Linked DNA regions of Styela clava. The protein of the gene in region 2 purifies or fractionates together with the protein of the main gene of each other region. This does not show direct contact. Links are inferred from orthologs where the notes say so. Each region holds a gene or a part of one and is shown on either strand. Other genes may lie near its edges.

Region 1 (11,410 bases), on a different chromosome or scaffold from region 2:
AATAGATATAGAAATTTTGTATATTTGTTTTACTAGGATGTTCTCGATCTATTAAACCTTCATAAAGAATTTTCCAGTTTCTTCTGTGTGTTCATTGTTTATGTTTTGTGTACGATTTTTTTGCGGGAAAATCAAAATATACTTATTATACTTATATATTCTGCGATAGAGATAGAATTTAATATTCAAGTCTTCAAAAAAGATAAATTTTATTGTTGGATGAATTGAATTCCAAACTTTTGTGAATTTATTGTATTGCATTGACAAAAATATTTGTCCGGCCGTTTCAACACAGTTTGAGTCATACCCGGCCGCGGTCACCCTGATTTGGATCAAAGCACTACTGTGCATGATTATATTGGCATGATAAAATTTATAATCAAGATTTATCTTCTTATGTTGAAACAAGGCGTTAAAACAAGGCAATATAGGGTTCTGCCAAAGCTTCCTCTTTCACAAAAAGGAATATATCCACACCTAGAGAATCTTTAATGCAGACAGTATAGCACTGAAAACTTTTGTTTTAGAAATGACCATGCCTGCATTGTACTTGCCGATCATCGTTATGCAAAAATGAACATCAAATCCGAACTACCATCATGGATTTCTGACAAACTACAAGTTGCTGACAGATTTGGAATTGCATTCGGTGCTGTTCGAAAGGTATATTTCCAGCAATTTATGTATACTGCATTCATACAACCCTTTTATTACAATCAATCGAAGTCTCTCGTGATGATGAAAGTGTTTATTCTTTTGCAGTTTTTCATGGACAAGAAGACTGCAAGCAGATGAAATGATAGCGCAATTGATAAGAATGCTAAAAAGTATCGTAATCACAAATTACATTCCATTTTCAACATTCAACAGTACATCCCCCAATTTAAAATAGATATGCTTATTTATCATGATAGCTATGTTGTGTTCAATAACAGTTCCAGTCTACACCAATTATATTTACAGAGCAGATATTAAGTGACTACTGCATTTCGAAAGCAGCAAGTATCGTAGGAACGCAAATATTTTTGCACAGTGAGACAGACGGAACAATATAAAAATATATATGAATACACCTATAAGCTACAGTGAGGTTGTCATGATCTCCTTGCCTGCCTGAACAAGCAGTTTTTCCAATATAGAGCATGTCCGTAGATCGCAATTGATTATTTCAATCTGCAAGCATGGTTTCATGTGATGTATTCACCCCTTGTGTCATATCTTCATGGTTTTCCTGAACAAAAAAATTGACTTTTGGTGTTGTCCCATACAACTACTTTAAAATCATGTTGATTAGAGAGCTGTTTCAACTTCTTTTGCCCAGCAAGGGCACAGAATTCTAGACTATCATAGTCAATAAAAAAGCCTTCATTACCTCATGACTCATATTTTCTTCTCTGTGAATACTGTGCAATCTGTCTTGGATAGCATCTTGCAATGTTCGTAAGCTTTCTTCATCCAGTTCTTTTACCAATGACAATGTGGCAGAGAGAATGTTGATACTAGCTGTACTCTGTCCTAATGTTTCTCTTTGTGTATTTCGAGCTGTTGATTTACTTGTAACAATCTCTTGTTGTTGTGGTAATGGTCTCAATCCCAACTGTTTTCTCAGTTCACTGTCATTAATTAAGCGTTCATTCAAGTAGTCAGTATATGTTATCGGCTGTGTATCAAGTTTTTTCGACTAGGAAATATTTATCAACTTTCTAATATCCAAAAAAGATTTTTCACACGAACTAAATCTCGTATAATTTAATTAATAACCGGCAAAAACAAAATTTTGTTACAACTTTTGTGGGTGGGTTGGACTTTAAATTGTGTTGGCATCCTAGGTTCAAACCGGAAAATTTCGGTCATGCAAAAATTGTAGCTCATTGAATGTCATAGTATATTATGAGTGACTGCTTTTACTGGACTTGTTTAGAGTAAAAGGCATGAATATCTTCAACCAGCATCTCATCCTATGTTCCACCTCAACTATCATAGCGCATTACTATTTGATACAATACTCCTATTACGCTCTGGTATGGAAAGCAGACTAAGTTTTCCTTATTATACTAACTTTGTTTCATCCACTGGACAGTGATTATTTTCTTTGTTGTAGCCGGAATACTGATTTTCAGATGGTGAAAGTCTAGATTCTTCTGATTCTTTTTCTAAAAACATGTCATGGCGAGAACTGTTTGTAACATTAGATTCTCTTGCATAACAATAACTTACCTTGTTTATCAGATTCTGTATTTTCTTGATTGTCAATATTATTTACGAGGTAACAATTTACAGGAATAGCTTTATCTTTTGATTCATTTGTTTCTTCTGGGATGCTTTCTGGTTCCGTCAATTCATCACCTTCCTTTTTTGCTTTTTCTACCTCTTCAGCAGTGACAACTGCAAAGAAAAGTGACTGGATTTAAATTCTAGAACTGGTAAGCAGACAGGGGTTGTTTTTAACTGTATATAAAAATCAACCTCTGACAAGAATTAATAATGTGTCCTCACCTACATTGTCCAGCTTAGCAAGCATTGGCAGCACTTTTAAAACTGTTAGTCTGTATTTTGTATTACTGATGTCATCACAAAATGGGTTGTCCGAAAGCCAAAGAATCCTAAAAAAAAAGGCTAACTTAAGGTAAGCTTAGTACTATATATATTCATACATGGATCCTCTTTGTGCCCAATAAGTAAATAAAACATACAATTATCATTATTGTTTCTTTTAACATATTCTATTACATATATAATCCTATTTATTAGTATATGTATAATTGAGAAGGTTACATACAACTAATATTCAATAAAGATACCTTAATTCTGTTAGCTCTTTCAAATGGAGAACTTCATTCAAATTCTTTAAATTATTTTTCCTTAAATAGAGTTCTTTCAAATTGCAGCAATGCGATAAAGCTTGAAGGCTTTCAATGTTGTTTGCACTAAAAATAAAAAAAAGAATTTCAATCCACTATAAGATACTTAAATTGTTACACATTAATAACAGGAAATTTTTAAAAGTAAATAATTGAGATAAGTTTGTAACCATGCTTGAAAATAAGCGCCAACTTCCAATGAAATGGAAATCATGAGATCCAATGAATCCATCAAAATGAATCAATCCAATGAAATTTTTCGGATTGTAAAATATCTGCAGAAAAAATAAATACCGGTATGCGATATAAGCACAAAAATTTACGAGAAATGTAACTAACCTGGCGTTTATCACTTCAATGTTGTGCATTTTTCGAACAATTGTAATCTACAAAACATTAATAATGAGACAGTATAGCTATAAACTCCAATATAAAAAGACACTCAAGGTTCCATATGGATAGAAGTAAATAAAGCAAAGCATGCTTGGAAAAGTCAGTTTAGACGAGTTCAGTAAAATCTACAAAATTCTTCAAGAATCGATAACATCTAACAATTTTATGTATAATTCCACTAAGTAACTCTCACTATAAAAGATTCCGAAGATAATTCAAGTCAAATGGAACTAATCAAGACTATTTTACACTGGTATAAATGTGAAATATTTCGAGAGTGATAATAATGATTTATTTTATACACCTTACTAGGTATCATAAAATACTTACATCTGAAAGAGCACTGCCCCTGAAAAAGATAACATCAATTTAGCTATAAATCACTTTTGATTTGTGCAATGAGTTAAAACTTGTTTTTATTAGTACTGGTACAGTAGTATCTAAGGCTATAGAAATTTGAAACATTGCTATTCTATCCAGTATATTCAGCATCCAGTTTACAAAATTAATGAATGACTAGGGGCCTATACAGATTCTTACCAACAGTTTAGGTTCTTTACAGCACCCAAGCTTTTAGATCTTGCTCGTGCCAGCACTAGCTTTTCTGTGAGTTTTACCATATCTTTGTCATAAAGTAATCTTCTTATTAAAAAGATTGTGAAGCAACCTTGTTATTGATTGTATTTCTTCCAATTTTCCTCAGGTATTTTGGAAAAAAAATATTCTGATATTGGTGATACCGGTAGGCCTATTTATCAAAGTTAGTAATGAACTGAATAAAAAACAATAAAAAGTTGCCTATTTATTATACCAAATCCCGGTATCGTTAACTCCACCAGATCATAGGCTACTAGCGGCACCGGGTTCACCGGGAATTATGATTCCACAATGTGGATTACGGTACCCGGTACCGGTATGCAATAAATAAAAAACATAAAATAATAAATGAATAACAATGACCAAGTATACATAAATAACAAAACATTTCATTACAGTCAATTGATTGTATTTTCCATAGTTGAAATTAGTCACAGGTCACTATACAAGGCTACATCGCCGACCAGCGTACCTTGGTCCTTGGCTGCCTGGCTACTGGTAAATATAAATACAAAATCCCCAATGTTTGACTTGACCTTTGACACCGCGCCCTGTATTTTTTTTATGCAAACAGTGGTTGGGACTGGGTTTAAAATTTTTGCTAGTTTTTAAGCGCCAACTTCCAAAAACACTATTATAATAAGCACCAACAACTTTGCAAATATAGGATCAATTTTTCTGTGGTCGGAACTCGGAAAGCATCCTGAAGGTATATTTCCACACGGAGGCACTATTGAGCAAATGTACGCGTGTGGTTATTGTGGGTCCAGAGGAACTGCCATCGTTCAGCGAGCTTCGCCTTGCGCACTGAAGACGTGTAGCCTATTTCAATTAGTTTTGAACGCTTGGATTAGATCCATTACGGTTGTCCTGAAGCTAAGCTTTATGTAATTGCCATAGTATGCATAGACATATAAATTATGGGACCGTACAAGTACGGCGTCGGTAATTAGTTACCATACCAAACCCTTTTTTAGCTCACTCTGGTACCGTACCTTACCTCTGGTACCGTACTCTGGATATTGCATTTGGCTACTGTCAGACTGTGTGGTAAATTCAAATTTCAGATTGTCTGCATTTCTAGTAGTCTGAGTAGTGGTACCGTAACTTTTGTCAGTAAGCAACCGTCATCTTATTCAACGACTGAACGAGGAAATACCAAGGTACCGTACGCTGGTCGGCGATGTGACTAATTAACAGATTAAAGTTTCATTCAAATCAATTTCTTTTAACTTCCCCACCATCTTACGGTACCGGTACTTCTGTGTGGTGGTGTAGCCCACCGTGCTGAGCGTTAGGAAAACGCTCGCCACCGCACCTCTGAATTTTCTGCGTGGGTTAGCAGGTTCGAATCCCACGCAGGGATGGTTAAGTGCGAAAGGATTGCTGGATTCCTCGCCGCCGTAGAGTGGTTTATGTAACCGCAGGTCGGTTACGGCTTCCTTCATCAAGTCCATGCTTTCGAAAACAAATAGATTAACTAACTAATTCCATACCCGACATGAAATGGTAACCGGATGAGAGGCAGTGGTTCGCCATATGGCAGTGTGGTTAAGTGGTCTTATCAGCTTTCCTCTCCCCAGGATAAATATTTAAATCCTGTCGTAGTTATTAATAACCTAACCTTTGACTTAATGCAGTAACGCATGGCTGTGTGTATAAATGTGAAGATTTCACCAAACATTATTTTATTCTAATTCAATATCATAGAATTTCTTGATGTCTTCAGTTCAATAATTTATATGCTAGACCTGTAATCTGTAAAATGGGGAAGAAAACTCAAAGAACGCCAGAAGAACTCACACTTGAAAAAAAGAGAAATGAAGAATTCAAAGACAAGATTCGGGCAAGAAGAGTAAGTAACAACGCTTATAATATGATCATCATGACTGTGTGTGTAGAAGGTGATTTATACATGTAAAATGGGTTTTGAACATCCAATTCGAAATAAATCATGGATTAAACTTATGAATATGTTTAGATTAAATTAAAATAATGTGGTTAACTATTTAATTGTTGCCTCAATGAACTCATCAATCAAATCAAAATCACAGCAATAATTGGAGTCTCATTGTGTTGACAACTTATCTTCACAATGTTGACAACCATATTTCCATCAAAATTCAGGTCTGTTACACTCTAATACAATATTAATATCATTAACAATTTTCTCTTTGAAGGAAAAATTAGAAGCAAAAGGGAATCAACGGGGAGTTGTTCTTCTCAGTCATATTCCACTTGGGTTTTATGAACCACAAATGTATGAATATTTTTCTCAATTTGGAAGAGTTACAAGGTTAAAATTGATTCGGAGCAAAAAGGTTGGTCGTCAACTATTTTGTATATTTATTTTCATCTGTTCCAGGAAGTTATTTTTTATCACTGTTTGTTTCAGACTGGGAAGTCAAGACAGTTTGCTTTCATTGAATTTCAATTTGAAGAAGTTGCAAAAATTGCAGCTAAAACAATGAATAACTATTTAATGTTCCAAAAAATATTAAAATGTAAGTATACTTTATAGTATTATCAATTTTGCATTATCTTTAGTACCGGTATATCTCTATTTCACTGATTTTGGTAACCATGCTTAAAATTGTGTGAAAATCATATTTTGGTAAAAATTGCAGGCAGACTTATTCCTTTGGAAGAAGTGAAACCAAACACATTCAGTAACTGGAGGCTTATTAAGCGTGTACCTCAAAGTAGAACAAAAGATATCAAGAGACACAATCAAGATGTAACTGATCCTGAAAAGGTTTGATCAAACTTAATAGTCATCTTTGCCAAAATAAAATGCATGGTATTAAATTGCAGAAAACTGCTTCGAGATTTGCAATGAATTGGACTTTGACAGGTCCACATTGATTTTTAGTTTCGTTGACATTGTAATTCCTCACTGTTTTTTTTACAGATCCAGTTAAAATTAAAAAGGCTACGAAAAAGAAGAGGACTATTAAACAAAAAGCTTCGTGAGATGGATATAGACTATGATGTTATGAATGTAGGACAACAATGCCATTTTTATGATACTTGCTAAAATACCTTGTCCTCAAACTACAATCAGATTTCTTTTACTCAGCTTGTATTTGTGTATTGTAGTTCCGTATTGTGGATAACTTTTTAAAATTATAGATTTCTTCAACATGGTTTATATTACATCAGATCATGTAATGGTAAAGGTCTTATTTTCATTATCAATAGATATTATTTCAACTTGTTTGTATTTTATCTACAGATTAAAGTAAACGACTCATTTGTTTCCCCTGAAAGAACCCGTGCTTCTCCTGAAGAATTAGCAGATGTTTATGAGCCTATTCCAGGTACCATATATATTAAAATGATTGTATGCTGAGTGTTTTGTCTATTATTATAGTTAAAGCAAGGATACTCTAGCTTTGTAGGGTATAAATTGAGAAGGCATACGCTCAACTCAACGCTTCATCCATTACCTACAGAGCTGCTTCTTTATCATGTCGGCTCAAACTGCTTCAATGCTAGCGTCAACTGGCATTTAACAACATATTTCCTCATCTAAATATTAATATCCCAATTTCATATTTTCGAAACTTGCAGTAAAAATGATTTTTTTTCCAAAATTCAGATTCCATTGGAATGGAGTATCGGTATTCTGATGGTGAAGATTTTGATGGCAAACGCTCAAATACAAAGAAATTGGGAACTAATATAAAAAAGAAGGAAGAATCAAATGATAATAAAACTAGTGATACATCACTGGAGAATGGACCTAAAGTGCAGTCTACTGATACAAAAAGTTCAATGACCAAAGTATGCTGATTAACTTGAGTTGTTAATATTGTGCAGAATCATGGTTTCATAGGTCAAAAAGTATCGATTTATAAATATGTACATTATCAGTTTTGGCTTTTTTCAATATCTGAATATCTTATTTAGCTTTCAGGTTTCAAATGAGGATAATGATAATTGAAATTCTATAGTTGAACAAGATACGACTTGTATGTCATAGGTCAATGGGACAACTTCATCGTCTATTCTACAGCCTCTAGTCAACAGTCCATGTCTGATATGGGAATGAATAGTTACTTGAAAGTCACTGTAGACCCAATTATCTCGATGTTGCAAGTTACATGATGCTCATTAAGCATTGGCTGATATTATAATCAATCATGTTTACTTATTCGTGTATGATTTATGATAACATACCATTCTAGTTTCCTCATGAATTTTTACTTTAGGATGATGAGGAATTTGGTGTTATGGTTGTTGACCTGGAAGATCCAGAAGTGACTTTCAAAAGTCCTCCAACGAAGTCAAATATAAAACTAAAGTCTGTTGGTGTTTCTAGTACAAGTAAAAGAAAGCGAACGGAGCTTGCTAATGAAGATAATTCAGTTATTGAAACATCGAAGGAATCTGTAGATAACACGCCACTTTCTGCAAAGCAGAAAAGATTGTTGAAAATTGAAGAACTGAAAAATGCTTTAAATTCAAAAGAGGATGGCGATGACTCTCTAAAAAGTGAGAAATCTGGGAAAAAAATCATGAAGTCTGTTGAGACACCAACACGCCAGATTAGGAAAAAGTTACCAAGAAGTGCAAAAAAGCCTAAAATCAAAACAGGTGCTAATTCCTTAAATAAAACCATGTAATTCCTTTACTGTTATGGTAATCCTTTTTTGCTTTCAATGGTCACTGACTTGAGAATGGAAACAAACGTTTGGAATCATAGGTGATACCTGAGAATAATGCTAATGCACCCTAATGGCTAATATGAATAAATTGGCCCAATATAAATTGGTTGATAGTATGTTTTTGTGCGAGTTCAATAGGCGTCTGGTCAAAATTAGAGATTTTGAGCAAATTTGTATGGTGGTCATTAAATATAGATAAATGCTTATTGTTGTGTTTGAGAAATTAAGTTGGCAGCACTGCCACTCCACAGGCAGGAATGACACAACAGTTTTTGGACTGTAGTTCGCATCGGTGGCAGTCGAGTTCTGCAATTAAACGAAAGGTGATTGGGACCTGTTAGCCTTCATTCAAGATATACTGTGTAGATATACCCTCAATACCTCCCGTGTTACTGAAATTACACCCCCGCTGGGAATTCTGCAGCATGTTTGGGTAAAAACGAGGAGAAATTTCTCTGCTATCGCCACAAATATTTTATGGCTATTCCCAGGACTTCCCCCATTTTGTATATGTTTTAACAAACCTTTCTAAATCTTCGTCTTTGCTTCTGGAAACTTAACACCTTTGATCACCTTTTGAAATTGCAGGAATGTTCTGATTCTTTGAATGAGTGTCCTGCCATTACTCACATCTATAATTTTCTAAAAATCATCAGTTCCGGAGTTACACAGGTTGCAATTCTTAATCATGTAGTAATTTTCATTAACATTCATAAAATCTTATTTGCCACTTAGTCCGATATAATGCAGACACATAACCACGCTTTGCATACGCGCGTGAAACGAAATAGGTTGTACACAATCACTAGATATGCAGTACTTGAAGTCCACAAATAGAAACATGTTGCGACGAGAATCTTGCAGGTTCTTTGCGGATAGAATTTCCTAATAATAAATCAAGTATTTATTTTGACGCTTATTTTCGGAATCCTCTTTATTCATTAACGCTTAACCTTAAATCAATCTAAACCAGTGGTTTTCAACATTTTTTTATTCCGCGGAACACTAAATCATAGTATCACAAGGTCATAATAAATCATCATCGAAAATAGACGATTAATTAATAATTACGGTCATTCATTTTGTCTTAGATATCGAAAAAGATAGATAGCTTATTGACTCTAGTTGGAAAGAGACGTAATAAATTCAAAACGAGAATATCGGTCAGAGACGAACACTTATCGATCGAAAGTTAGGGGATCCCCAAAACAGCGCTCTTACTCCATAGTGGCACCTTGTGTCCCATCACTAATTAATAACTCGCTAATTATACGGCATAATTCATCCAAAATCAATATGCTTCTGATCCGAGATGTGATGAATGCATATGCAAAATTTGGAGCGGATTCGCTTTCGTGAGATATCGCGTGTATCTAACAGACAAACACCTATCAACATACTTACCGATCTTAAGATCGATAAGTAATTAGGATACGAAGAGCTTAATACGAATAACACTTTATCAAAATCGGTTCACAAAGAGCTGAAATAACTAAACGAGAATTGTCTGAGACAGGCTTTGGGTAGCTTGTAATAACGATGGCATTTTAATGTTATATTTTGGCTTCTTTCGTTGGATGCGGGTTTTCTCTTTTATTCAGGGATTGAGAAAAGAAAAACACGCAGTTATTCTTCAATGTTTTTTATCTTTAATTTTGCTATCTAATCGTGATCATTCGATTTCTACTTTTTTTTAAAAGTAAAACACTTTAACCGGGTAAAATTACCCGGTTAACCGCAGCGTGATGCTTGACACTATAATTTTAGCCTCGTATGTCACAATGGTTCCGAAGCAATTTCGCTAATCTTATCCTGGTATCGCTCAAAGTTCTCAAGGATTAGGATAGTTAATGATCGCTCTACTGAATGGTTTTTAACCTCTTTTCTTTCATCAGTTGCACAAATAAATCTATGGCCCCCCGACTTTCCCATTCAAGGGAAATACTTCAAAATGAACAAAAAGTTTTTTCGCAAAGATAGACATTTCCACGTTATTATTATTATTTAAAAGAGAATTTCCAGCTAAAGAGCAGCAGCACCCACCATTCATTGCTACAACAATCGAAGTTTAACTAATTTATCGTTAATTCTGACAATCTTTAATAGGTTTGTGGCTAACCTGAAAGTGTTTCTATGGCCCAGAAGTGGGTCATGGCCAACTGGTTGAAAACCGGTGCTCTGCTGCAAGAATGCTGCGTATATCGGACAAATGGAAGTATTTTAGTAAAACCCCATCGCGTTATTAAAAGTCATGCATGTGACAAAAATTCAGTGTTCGATGTGAAACTTCTACTTTGAGCTTGAGATATTCAACACGACCAGAAATATTAATTTAAATCTTTCGTCACCACTTTCCGAATATGTCAATAGGCTAACGGGGTTAGATAACTATTAAGCCAAATAAGCACGTGTTTAGGGCATCAAGAAAAAGAGGCACCCCAGAAATTTTCATAGTCGAATTTTTAATGGCCTCTGATTGTTTAATGAAATAATTCGAATTGGTCTAACGACTCAGACCTCAATATTGTCCCGGTTAAAATAAATTTTTTCATACTGTAAATGTTTGTAGGAATGGGAACGATTTCCAAAAAATATGCGAATTATTCATAATTTGGCCTTCAAACAGTAATGACTACTGCTCATTTATTGGACACGTCAGTGTACATAACGATCGTTTCAATATTATGTTGTTGTTTTTGGACACGTAGTGGACATAACGATCGTTTCAATATTATGTTGTTGTTCTTGTTCTTTGACACGTTTTTAAAAAGTCGCTTTTCTCTTCGAATACTGCACCAATTGCTTTGAAATTTTCAGTGGTTGAAGATAAAATTTTTCTCCAGAAGGCTGTTACTTTTTTTTTCGCTATGACGTCATCAAAATTATTGC
Region 2 (10,279 bases):
TTTAAGATAGTTGTTATATCGCCTAAATTCAAGATACAGAGACAAGGTGTGGTGAACGACCCCCGACCCCTTGACCCCAGAAAAAATTTTCCTATACTTTACCTTTACAAAATTTTAATTTTTATGGTTATTTTAAGAGTTCCACTAAATCAAGCAAATATGCAAAGATAAATGTATGAATAATTCTGATATCAACTTTGTCCTGTGTTCAAGAATCACTGAGAAGAAGATATTATTCATTTCAAAATATTCTGAAATTCTATAAATCCACTCACGTGCAGCTACTGGAGCAGATATTGGCCTCGGATTTGGCTTTCTATTCTTATGAAGAACTGTGTGACTGAATTCATCCTCGTGTTGTTCAGGTGTCAGAAATTTTACTGTATGTTTCTTAATAAATGGTTGCCGTAATATTGTATTTACAGATGGTCGATCTCGAGGATTTCGTCGAAACAGTTGACTGACTAAACCCCGAAGATCATATGAATACCGAGGCGGAACTGGAGGATAAGATCCCCTGGGAAAAAAGTGTTGGACATTGAATGGTAAAAATAGGAGATAGAGACTAAGCTTTGATAGTTATTATTTTGCGTTAAAAAATTTTGTTATCAAAAATTCAATTTATTTGAATTCGATTAATATTGCTACATTAAATGTATATACATAATAAAATGAATTGTATATCAATATGTATCGCATAAACGTTAGGCCCTATGGGATTTTTTTTCATGTTTGGGAGAATTTGCTCATTCAAACTCACTTAGAAGGAACACTCATCTCTGAGTGAACACTGGGTAATTACTGAAATGCCAAGAGATACTGAAACTTAATATATTAATGATGGTTTAATTACTTGGCACCAAATGCCGCAAGCATTGAAGCAGTTCAATCAGGATCAGGGGAAATATTGCAAACCCATAATTTGTGATGGTCAAAAATCAGACAATAATGTCAAACTGGTGATTTTTTTATCACACAGCTATTTATTTCATAATTATTACCTAATTTGGCAACATACTCAAACTATGATTTCAGAGGTGCATGAATTAAAACCATATGTACAGTATGGTTACCTGATAATTTTCAGTACAAGATTCTTCATATTTCCAGCTTCAAATGCATGTTTTAATGTGAGAACTTCATACAAAACACATCCCAATGCCCAAACATCACTCTTGTTATTATAAGGTTTGTTTTCGCAAATTTCAGGACTCAGATAGTAAGGTGTTCCTGAAGCGAAAATTATTCAGCACTTTCATAATGATTCATACATGCATGATCAGGGATGTCTAAAATTAATCGGTCATACGAATACATTTGACATTAATTGTATTTGATATAGCATATTGATATAGTTGGATTTTTGAAATACAGTGAATGATTCAAATAAAATATATGGACAATGTCCAAAACGATATTGATATAGTTGGATTTTTGAAATACAGTGAATGATTCAAATAAAATATATGGACAATGTCCGAAACGATATTGATGTAGTTGGATTTTTGAAATACAGTGAATGATTCAAATAAAATATATGGACAATGTCCAAAACGAAGTATTACGGGTAGCAATTTGTTACAGTAGATTATAGGTATGGCAATCTTCAAAACTAACGCAAAAGTAGAACCGCCACAAGATGCGCAATTTTTCATGATCTCATTGCACACAGAAATATTTTATATTTTGTCTTTATCATGTTTAATCTTTAATATGTACATATTTAAATAATTATTGTTGTTTAAGTAAGCGTTTTCTTAATATTTAAAATAAGCATTGTGTGTTGAAATTCCTTGTGAAAAAACACAATTTCAAACAAAATCTTACCTAGGGATGCCTGAAATGGATGGCCTATGGATAACAAAAAACTTAATATTTAGATAAAATTTTAAATGCTATTATTGTAATGCTTCATTTCAAATAATATAAAAAATACCAATTTTACCAATGCATGTTCTCGCGAGTTCAAGTGTATTGTTTAAAACTCTGGCAATTCCAAAATCACCAAGCTTAATTGCTCCACTTTTTGTGAGAAATATATTCTGAAAAAAATAAAATAAAAATGTGTAATTAACCCTATACCCACCACCTCACCCAGGGTTAGCATTCCTTGAAGTTAGTATTTTAATTTTCTAATGGACATAAAAAACGGTTCAACAAAAACCTAAACACATTAATTAGGTTTAAAGCATTGTTGATATAGAATTAACAGGAAGCATGAATACACCCACAGTATTTGTAGTCAAAATTTGGTTTCATCAGAATTTAGAGCTCGAGTCAGAGCCAAAAATTTTTTCAACACAAGGTCGGTAGTCAAGGTCAGAGTAGTTATTTTTAAAAGACAATCATGCGAAACAATGGGAATACGCTCGTCGCCGCACCTCTAATTACTCTGCGTCGATTCAAATCCAGATGGAGAGAATTATGTATATCATAGCAATAGCTACAAGGTGTATCAAATTGACTATATCAAGTAATTCTTCATCACATTGTAACATACAGAGCTCGAAGTTACAGAACTTTTAAGAGTTTGTCAGAATAACAAATATCAAGTAATTCTCGATCACATTGTAACATACAGAGCTCGAACTTACAGAAGTTTTAATATCTCTGTGTAGAATTTTTCGATCATGAACATGTTTTAATGCAAGGCACATCTGCACAAACCATTCCAAAACTTTAGTTTCCGAGAACGCCATCCCACGTTGTGAATTAATTCTTGCATACAGATCACCTCCCTCACAATACTCCATCACAATGTAAAGACATCCACTCTCTGGAAAAATTGAACGTAAGGTTTATCAAAAAATAGGCAATTTTTTATCAAGTATTCTCACACCTTGACTCAATGCAAGACACTGCAAATGTAGCAACTGACCACATAAAAGAATAATATAGCCTATTATAAAAAAAAAAGCAAATTCCTGGTATAAGATCGATTTTGATCTCAACGATTTCAAAGCAAAGAAGACAAAATTCATAGATATTTTTTCCCAACCAATATTTATCCTGAAAATGTCCAAAAGACTTCGCTAAGGGCAGCAATAAGTCATAATCCAGCCAAAATTCTCATTGTTAGGGGAAGTAAACTATTTCAAATGCAAAAGTAGTTCTGTTGTTTGTTCACCCTTCAATGAATCAAATGAGTTCATTCGAATAAATCTATGTTATGTATTTGATAATTCACTGTTTACTTGACAATGCAAACTTTAAAGTAAATGCCAAGCACTATGAACTGCCATCTCTATCACAGGGTATAACTATATACATATAATGTATAGATATTGTTGAAAGAAAATGAGCTAATCTTATAGTCTTACAAGATGAAGATATTATATTGAGTTACAAGGGAATTGAAGATGAATAATAAAAAAAAGGTGTTGCCAATGCAAAAAAATATTATTTATATTTCTATAATACGGTTCTAGTGTAATTAAAAAAACAATTCATATTATATACAAACCAACAAATTCTGCCAAAAGCTATACTGTACTCATATGCGCACAAATTCTATTGGTAACTTTTCTGTACATAATTGATATCTTTTGAATACAGTCATGAAGTAGTATTCAATTTTATGCACAGATCCCATTCCTAACAAAAAGGATAACTTTGAAATTTGAATTTGAAACCACACACAGTAGGGCACAGTTCTCTGATTCGAAGATGTTCCAACATTTAAATTATTTAAGGTCGTCATGTGACCAAAGTTTCGTTTTTGGCTAAAAACTCTCGATTGCGACAGTGAAATTTATGGGGCTATTGTTGGAATTGTAGAACTGTGCTGACACATGAACACTGAAACATGACAAATTCAGACATCGAACCATTTAAGGGCATAATATTAAAGAGTAGACAAGCTTCACCTTCAAACGATTCCACATATTGCACAATATTTGGATGTCGCATCTTTGACAATACACCGACTTCTTTTCGGGCTTCTTGTCTTTCTTTCATTTGCATTTTTGAAATTGAAATTTCCTGTAGAACGTGTAAAATTTTAGCATTTCAACATTTAGAATTTTTGAAACATGCTCAAACAAAATAGTTAGATTATTATAAAAATTGTCACACACTTTAACCACGTATTGTAGGCCATCTTCTTTGCTTTTCACGAGAACGGCTTTTCCAAATGATCCTTCTCCAATTTTCTTCACCCTCACATATTTATCCATTATGATTTCCTAGTAGCTTTTAAGGTTTTAGATAACCGTCTCACTTTCCTGTTTAAGCCACTCGTTTTAACCTGTTACAATACCAAGCTGAAAAGTCTAGCAGAATACTGGAATATTGTTGACTTGATCTAGTCGCTTAATTCAGTACCTATTTATTCCTAATCCAGTAATAATGTACTGTCGAATGGGGGTACGGAATTCCAATAATTTTAACATCTTTTACAGTATTGGAAGTCTGACCACCAGATTGTTGAGATGCGACCATGTTCACTCGTGGACGCCATCACAAGACTGCAAGATACAGTCATACAAAAATTCAAAGTGAAAAACGAATCCCTTAGACAACAATAAGAAAAGCAACAACAACATAATAAAAAAATTATCCATAGGCCCATTTCGTATCCAAAAATTCCAGAGTCGACCGTCCGAGAAACACCAATCTATTTTCGGGTCTTATGTAGTTTCGTACCTAACATACTTCTAGTGGGCGTAGCATGACAATTTATTCACAAATCAATCCTAACCCCCACCTGACTACACCATCCAAAAATTACGTCAACACGTCGTCACAGTGACGTAATAGAGCCCTTCAAACTATACGAACTGCCATCCAAGACGCGCAAGCACCCGAAATCGAACAGTTCTGCAGTTATTTCTCTCGTTTTCTCGTCGCAACGATTCCAATAGGAGAGAGATCGATATTGTCAGTCAGTTCTTTATCGTCGGCGCCAATGCCATTTCGGGCGATTGTTCGTATACCGTATTTGGCAAGCTCTATGACGTGATTGTGATGTCGTAGTGAGGTACCGTAAAACCGGCTAACTTCGGATGCCTTGTAACTTCGGATGAAATTTTCAATCATTCATATCTCAACTAAATTTTGTCGTATTGCGCTTCTGTCGGTTTCTATAGTAAGGCCTTACATATCTGAATCTGCCGTAGCCTCCAATCGCTCGATTTGATTTTATATCATTCAAAAAATCATATTTTACCAAAAATATGACACCGTTTTTTCGAGCGGCTCAAATCGTGACTTCTACAGACGCTACCTTCGTCAAATCACCGCCAAGCGCTAGAGAGCGTACACAATGTATACAAAAAAATACAGTGATCACAGGGTGTCGTACGAGATTCGAGTGAAATCGATTATTTTGATTTAAAAATTACATCAAAATATCGACGTTTTGATGATTACGTACAGCGTGACGTCTACGACGCAAATCCCTTTCTCTCTCTTCGTAGCCGACGTCACTTTGCGTAGCTCGTGCGTTACTCGCTGAGACATTTGAACGCCAGACATCGCGGCGCCCAGTTTTGTGAAATTTAAAAATTATGCTTATCCATGATCCTAGTCACTAAATCCTACAAAAACATCACTATCGTCTCAGTCATATGTTGTTTATTTAAAAATATGGGTATGCATACGCTTAATGCATGTGAAATTTGTCGATTTTTGTTTTTGCATACTTCCTCCGACACCGATAGATACCGTAGCAATTGGTAATACGTTAGGCCTGAAACATGTATCTATACGATCATAATGATTAGATATGTCTGTTTACGCTCGGCAGATGATAATAATATCTTTAACAGGTGAGCGTAGAACTCTACATAGATGCACACAGCAGGAGGTTGGACCACATACAGGTGAGGCGCAAAATGAAAAAAAGTGGCGAAGTTTCTTTTTGCCGTTTTTATCCGTTTATTGTCATTTGACTTTATCTATCTACCTGTGAACACATTAAATCTGATCTATCAATACGATGCCAAAGCGAACTTACAACTCCTGCAATAGCGAGGACTTGCAAAAGGCTATGGCTGATGTTAGAGCAGGGATGTCGGTTGCGAAAGCTGCAGCGAAACACATTGGTTCCACAAGAACTGTTGCAAAGACCCGTCTAACCCATGTGGAAATGATTACAATTCTTGATTTTGCCAACGTTTCCTTCAATTCATTTGTTTATTTTTAACTGTCGAATTTTTGTTCATACCTTACTTGTTCCATATTGCTTTTTGATTTCAATTTTTACTTTTGCCAGTGTTTCATTCGATTCATCCGTTTATTTTTAATTGTCTAATTTTTGTTCATTCTCTACTTGTTCCATATTGCATTTCAATTTCAACCTACACCAGTGTTAGGTACTTTCAATTCTTCCGTTTTTTTTTTTTTGTTAATCCTTTTCTTGCATTGAAAATAAACGATCATAAAAGAACGAACTAGCATTTTGCAATAAATTAGGAGTAGTTAGTGAATATATACGAGTTATAATAAAGGACACAAGAATAAATAGTTAAGCTTCGCGAAGCGGCAAGAGTAACGTCACGTACAAACGTCAGTATGCAACACGCAAGACGGGTCGTGGCGGCGTAAGGTCTATTCAGCGACGTTGTCACGCGTCATTGCTTACGCAGACATTTCTCTCTCACGACGAGTTGACGCAAAGAGAAAAGTGGCCATCCGAAGTTAGATAATTTTAGAATAGACGAATAAAGACAATAATTTCAATGAAAAAAGGCTTTGATGGGTATGGAACCGACTTTATCAAGACGAGAATAGCCACAATGTATTATATTCCAAATTTGGCTTCAGTTGAACAACATGCGGCGGAGATATTGTTCAAAATATAGTGAAATCATCCGAAGTTAGCCGGTTTTACGGTAATTTTTGGATGGCGTAGTCAGATGGGGGTTAGGATTAAAATATTGTCATGCTACGCCCACTAGAAGTACGTTAGGTACGAAACTACACGAGACCCCTATTTTCAGTTGACATTCAGACATTGGTGACGACCTCTATGACATTGGACATGGTAGAATTTTGATAACTAAGTAGGCCTATAGTTTTTAACCACAAAATGGTACTTGAAGTAGTTTGGGTCAATTCGTAACAAAATAACCTTCCTGCTTGCATTAATCAAAAAATAGCCACAAAAATGTCTTATATACAAGAGGCATTCACTTATAAGAATGCAGAACTCCAGAAAGCGTCGCTTCGTCATGACAATGACAAACCTAGTTCCGAATAATATTTTTCAAGAATTTGATCGCACGAAACCACAGACTTTACGCTTCAATGCACTCCAGTAATAGAAATCAATAGAATGTATGAAATTTTTATGTGTTATTTTTATGTGTTTATGTGGATAAAAAGTGATGTTTTTATTAATAATAAAAAATAAAAAAATGTATGAAATTTTATAATTCGTATAGACAATATGACTTTTTCAAATGGTGGTAATTAAAACCATGATATTCAAAATTCTAAAAAATGATTAATAATCTTGATCTAATTCAAAATTAATAATTAAAAAAAAAAGACCGAAAATTTTGTACGATTGAATTATAGTAGTAAAAAGTATATCGAAATTCCCGCGTCAGACGGAAGCCGATAGGACAGCTTAATCATATGCCGAACCATGTTCTCGAGTCCGATTACCAGTCTAATATCGGGTATGGGATTAGTTAGGATGTCAGGTAGTTATTTGTTTTCATGCTTGAGGATGCCGTTAGTGAACCACTCTGCGACGGCGAGGAGTCTAGCAATCCTCTCGCACATGGTTATCCCCAGGGTAATTAGAGGTGTGCTGGCAAGTCTATTCCCTGACGCTCATCATTATGCGCCACACTGCCAAGCAAATACAGAGAAGTCTAGTCTCCGGAAACAAGTCTGTTAACTTTTTATTCAATTTCATCCAAGCAACTTTGTGAGGGAAGGACAGTGTATCACACAACTAATCATTTGTTTATCGTGCTGCAGAAATGCTCTGACCAACTAAATGATGAATGTAAAACTTAACATTAAAAAAGGAATTGCCTATGAATAATAAGCAAACACCCCTGCACTTTGCCAAACTAAGCTGCTGAGGCTGGACATATTATAGCAACAGGACCGCACACATACGCATCTTGATTAAACTAAACCTGTAGCCCCGATCACAAAAGAAAAAAACGAAGTCTAGAGATTGACATTTACTAAGCATTCAAATCGAAATCAAAAAACAAACACCATATAATACTTTACTCAATACAACAAATTACATGTCTACAGTGCAAGAATAATAAGCCGCAGAGATAGACAATCTTTCTAAAAACAAGTATGCAAATCTACCAACATCACATGAAGGGTATAACACAATATGAATGAATACACTATGCTGAAATGAAGAATCTACTAAAATTATACCACAGGAATAAGCAATACCAAATAGCCCACACTACTCAAATAGAATTATTTAAAACAACCTTCATAATTCTTCATATGCGCTTCAATAGAATTCTCTACGTGATAAAAAAAAAAAAAAATAATAAATACAATCTTTTAACAAATTTTTTGAACAGTCAAACATTGATGCATACAAAACATAGATCTGTAAAATATTTTCATCAATGCCATAAGAATTGCAGACGCCACTTATGTTCAGTTCATTCACTAACCCCTAAATCACAAATTTTATTCCAAACATTTAATGAAATCAATGTTATCATTCAGCATCAAAATTTACTGAAAACAAAACTACGCCTACCCTTTTAAAAAGACAAACAAAACAGGCAAGAAGCAGGTTATCTAGTCTAGATCTAAGTATTCACCATTGCAGTAAAGACAACAAAACTAAAATTTAGTTATTGCACATATTAATAAAACCGATATTGAGCAATGATTCAAAATGGCAAAACATAATAGATTGTTATAAAAATACACACATGAAGGTCTCCATATAGGCATGAATATCCCAGAAACTACCTTATGTCCTCTGGCATTGGATATTGCAATTAAAAATGCACCCAGGACCTCCTCACAACAAGTTTTGAAGAGGGCACAAACACAGCTAGTTTTGTTATAGATTATATGTAATAATTCTCTAGCTGCTGAGACAGCACACAGCAGATCAAAATAAATTCTCTTCACTCAATTTATCTTCTTGAAACAAGTGGTGTAAAGTTTTTATCACATTTACAAGCATAAACATATCACCAAGTCACTGAACATATACTACAAGTCAGGGATGTGCAACCTTCAATACAGAAGGGCTATATAGAAATAACAGGGTGAAACTGTGGGCTGCACCTTTATTTAATAACATGCACTACCTAATAATTGCAGGCACAAAAATTTTGGATATTGATCTTATGACATGCTTTAGCTGTTAAGGCATAGATAGCATATTGGACTCAGGTATAGGCTTCGCTTCACAACACAAAGACATTTGAGTCACTATCATGTACCAAATTAAATTAAAAACTCTTTTCCTGGGCCGCACATTATTTCAAAATTGTAATTCTCCTCAGGCCGCACAATTTTTTATTGAGAGCCGCATTTGGCCCGCAGGTCACAGGTTGCACACCCCTGCTATTAATAAACAATTCTTCTAAGTACTGGAACCAATTTTTTGAGTTGCTCTTCATTACTACAACAATACAATAATTGTAAGGAACTGAGCCATAAACAGAGGAAAATCAAAGCATTGGATAATAATCTATCAATCTATTTCAGTTACTCTTATAATTAAATTTTGATGAAAGTGGACAAAGAGTTATGAGGCAAGACAATCATGTTGATGGCGATTAGTAACGCTACTACTTTCAATTTCTAATTTAGTTTTATGAAATATTATTCTTAATTACCAGATAATGGTTTTTCATTTATAGTACTGTGATTTTTGTGCGAAATAGAACATTTTACAGAAGACAAAACAGTGGCTATTATTAGAATTTGTGGGTCGAAAACGTTGGGCAATACATTCACACGCCACGTATGTTGCTAATTGTGTGGAAAAGATATTTCATTTTACAAACGATATCCAACACACTAAATTAGGAATATAATTGGTCCAAGAACTACGACATTATTGATTTAAATGGTCATTAATTTTCCATAAAGTAGTAATTGAGAATACTAAATACTTTAAATTTAAATATCAAAATATTTAGGCGAGAATAAATTTTTTGAATTAGTAAGTTTTACTGAAATACTACTCATGATCTTGTATTTAGGAAAATTGCAACATAAAAATCAAAACTATTTATGTATGGTCTTCCTATACATAAAAGGAAAAAAAAAAAGTCAAAACATGTTGATATAGTAATATATAGTTAACAGATAACAG

What was found.
Region 1: the proteins of serine/threonine-protein kinase Nek1-like (region 2) and cilia- and flagella-associated protein 410-like purify together in Homo sapiens (affinity purification with mass spectrometry; 3 studies listed by BioGRID and IntAct, with this or other methods). This does not show direct contact. The link is inferred for Styela clava from reciprocal best matches to the Homo sapiens genes NEK1 and CFAP410.

What each region holds. Positions count from the first base shown.
Region 1 is NC_135252.1:14,882,496-14,893,905, reverse strand, and holds cilia- and flagella-associated protein 410-like, read right to left. Parts: upstream 4,319-11,410; 5' UTR 3,875-4,318; coding exon 3,795-3,874; intron 3,604-3,794; coding exon 3,585-3,603; intron 3,248-3,584; coding exon 3,201-3,247; intron 2,928-3,200; coding exon 2,802-2,927; intron 2,604-2,801; coding exon 2,497-2,603; intron 2,386-2,496; coding exon 2,218-2,385; intron 2,154-2,217; coding exon 2,060-2,153; intron 1,614-2,059; coding exon 1,373-1,613; intron 1,232-1,372; coding exon 1,169-1,231; 3' UTR 796-1,168; coding exon of another isoform or gene 763-795; 3' UTR 731-762; downstream 1-730. Other genes in the region: ATP-dependent DNA helicase DDX11-like, read left to right, coding at 528-663, 763-795; uncharacterized protein LOC120342376, read left to right, coding at 5,617-5,706, 6,032-6,172, 6,247-6,355, 6,479-6,606, 6,763-6,852, 7,087-7,171, 7,453-7,637, 8,066-8,479. UniProt on the Homo sapiens protein: Plays a role in cilia formation and/or maintenance. Plays a role in the regulation of cell morphology and cytoskeletal organization. Involved in DNA damage repair.
Region 2 is NC_135263.1:14,764,196-14,774,474, reverse strand, and holds the start of serine/threonine-protein kinase Nek1-like, read right to left. Parts: upstream 4,597-10,279; 5' UTR 4,176-4,596; coding exon 4,077-4,175; intron 3,982-4,076; coding exon 3,867-3,981; intron 2,777-3,866; coding exon 2,595-2,776; intron 2,043-2,594; coding exon 1,946-2,042; intron 1,231-1,945; coding exon 1,074-1,230; intron 518-1,073; coding exon 276-517; intron 1-275. UniProt on the Homo sapiens protein: Phosphorylates serines and threonines, but also appears to possess tyrosine kinase activity. Involved in DNA damage checkpoint control and for proper DNA damage repair.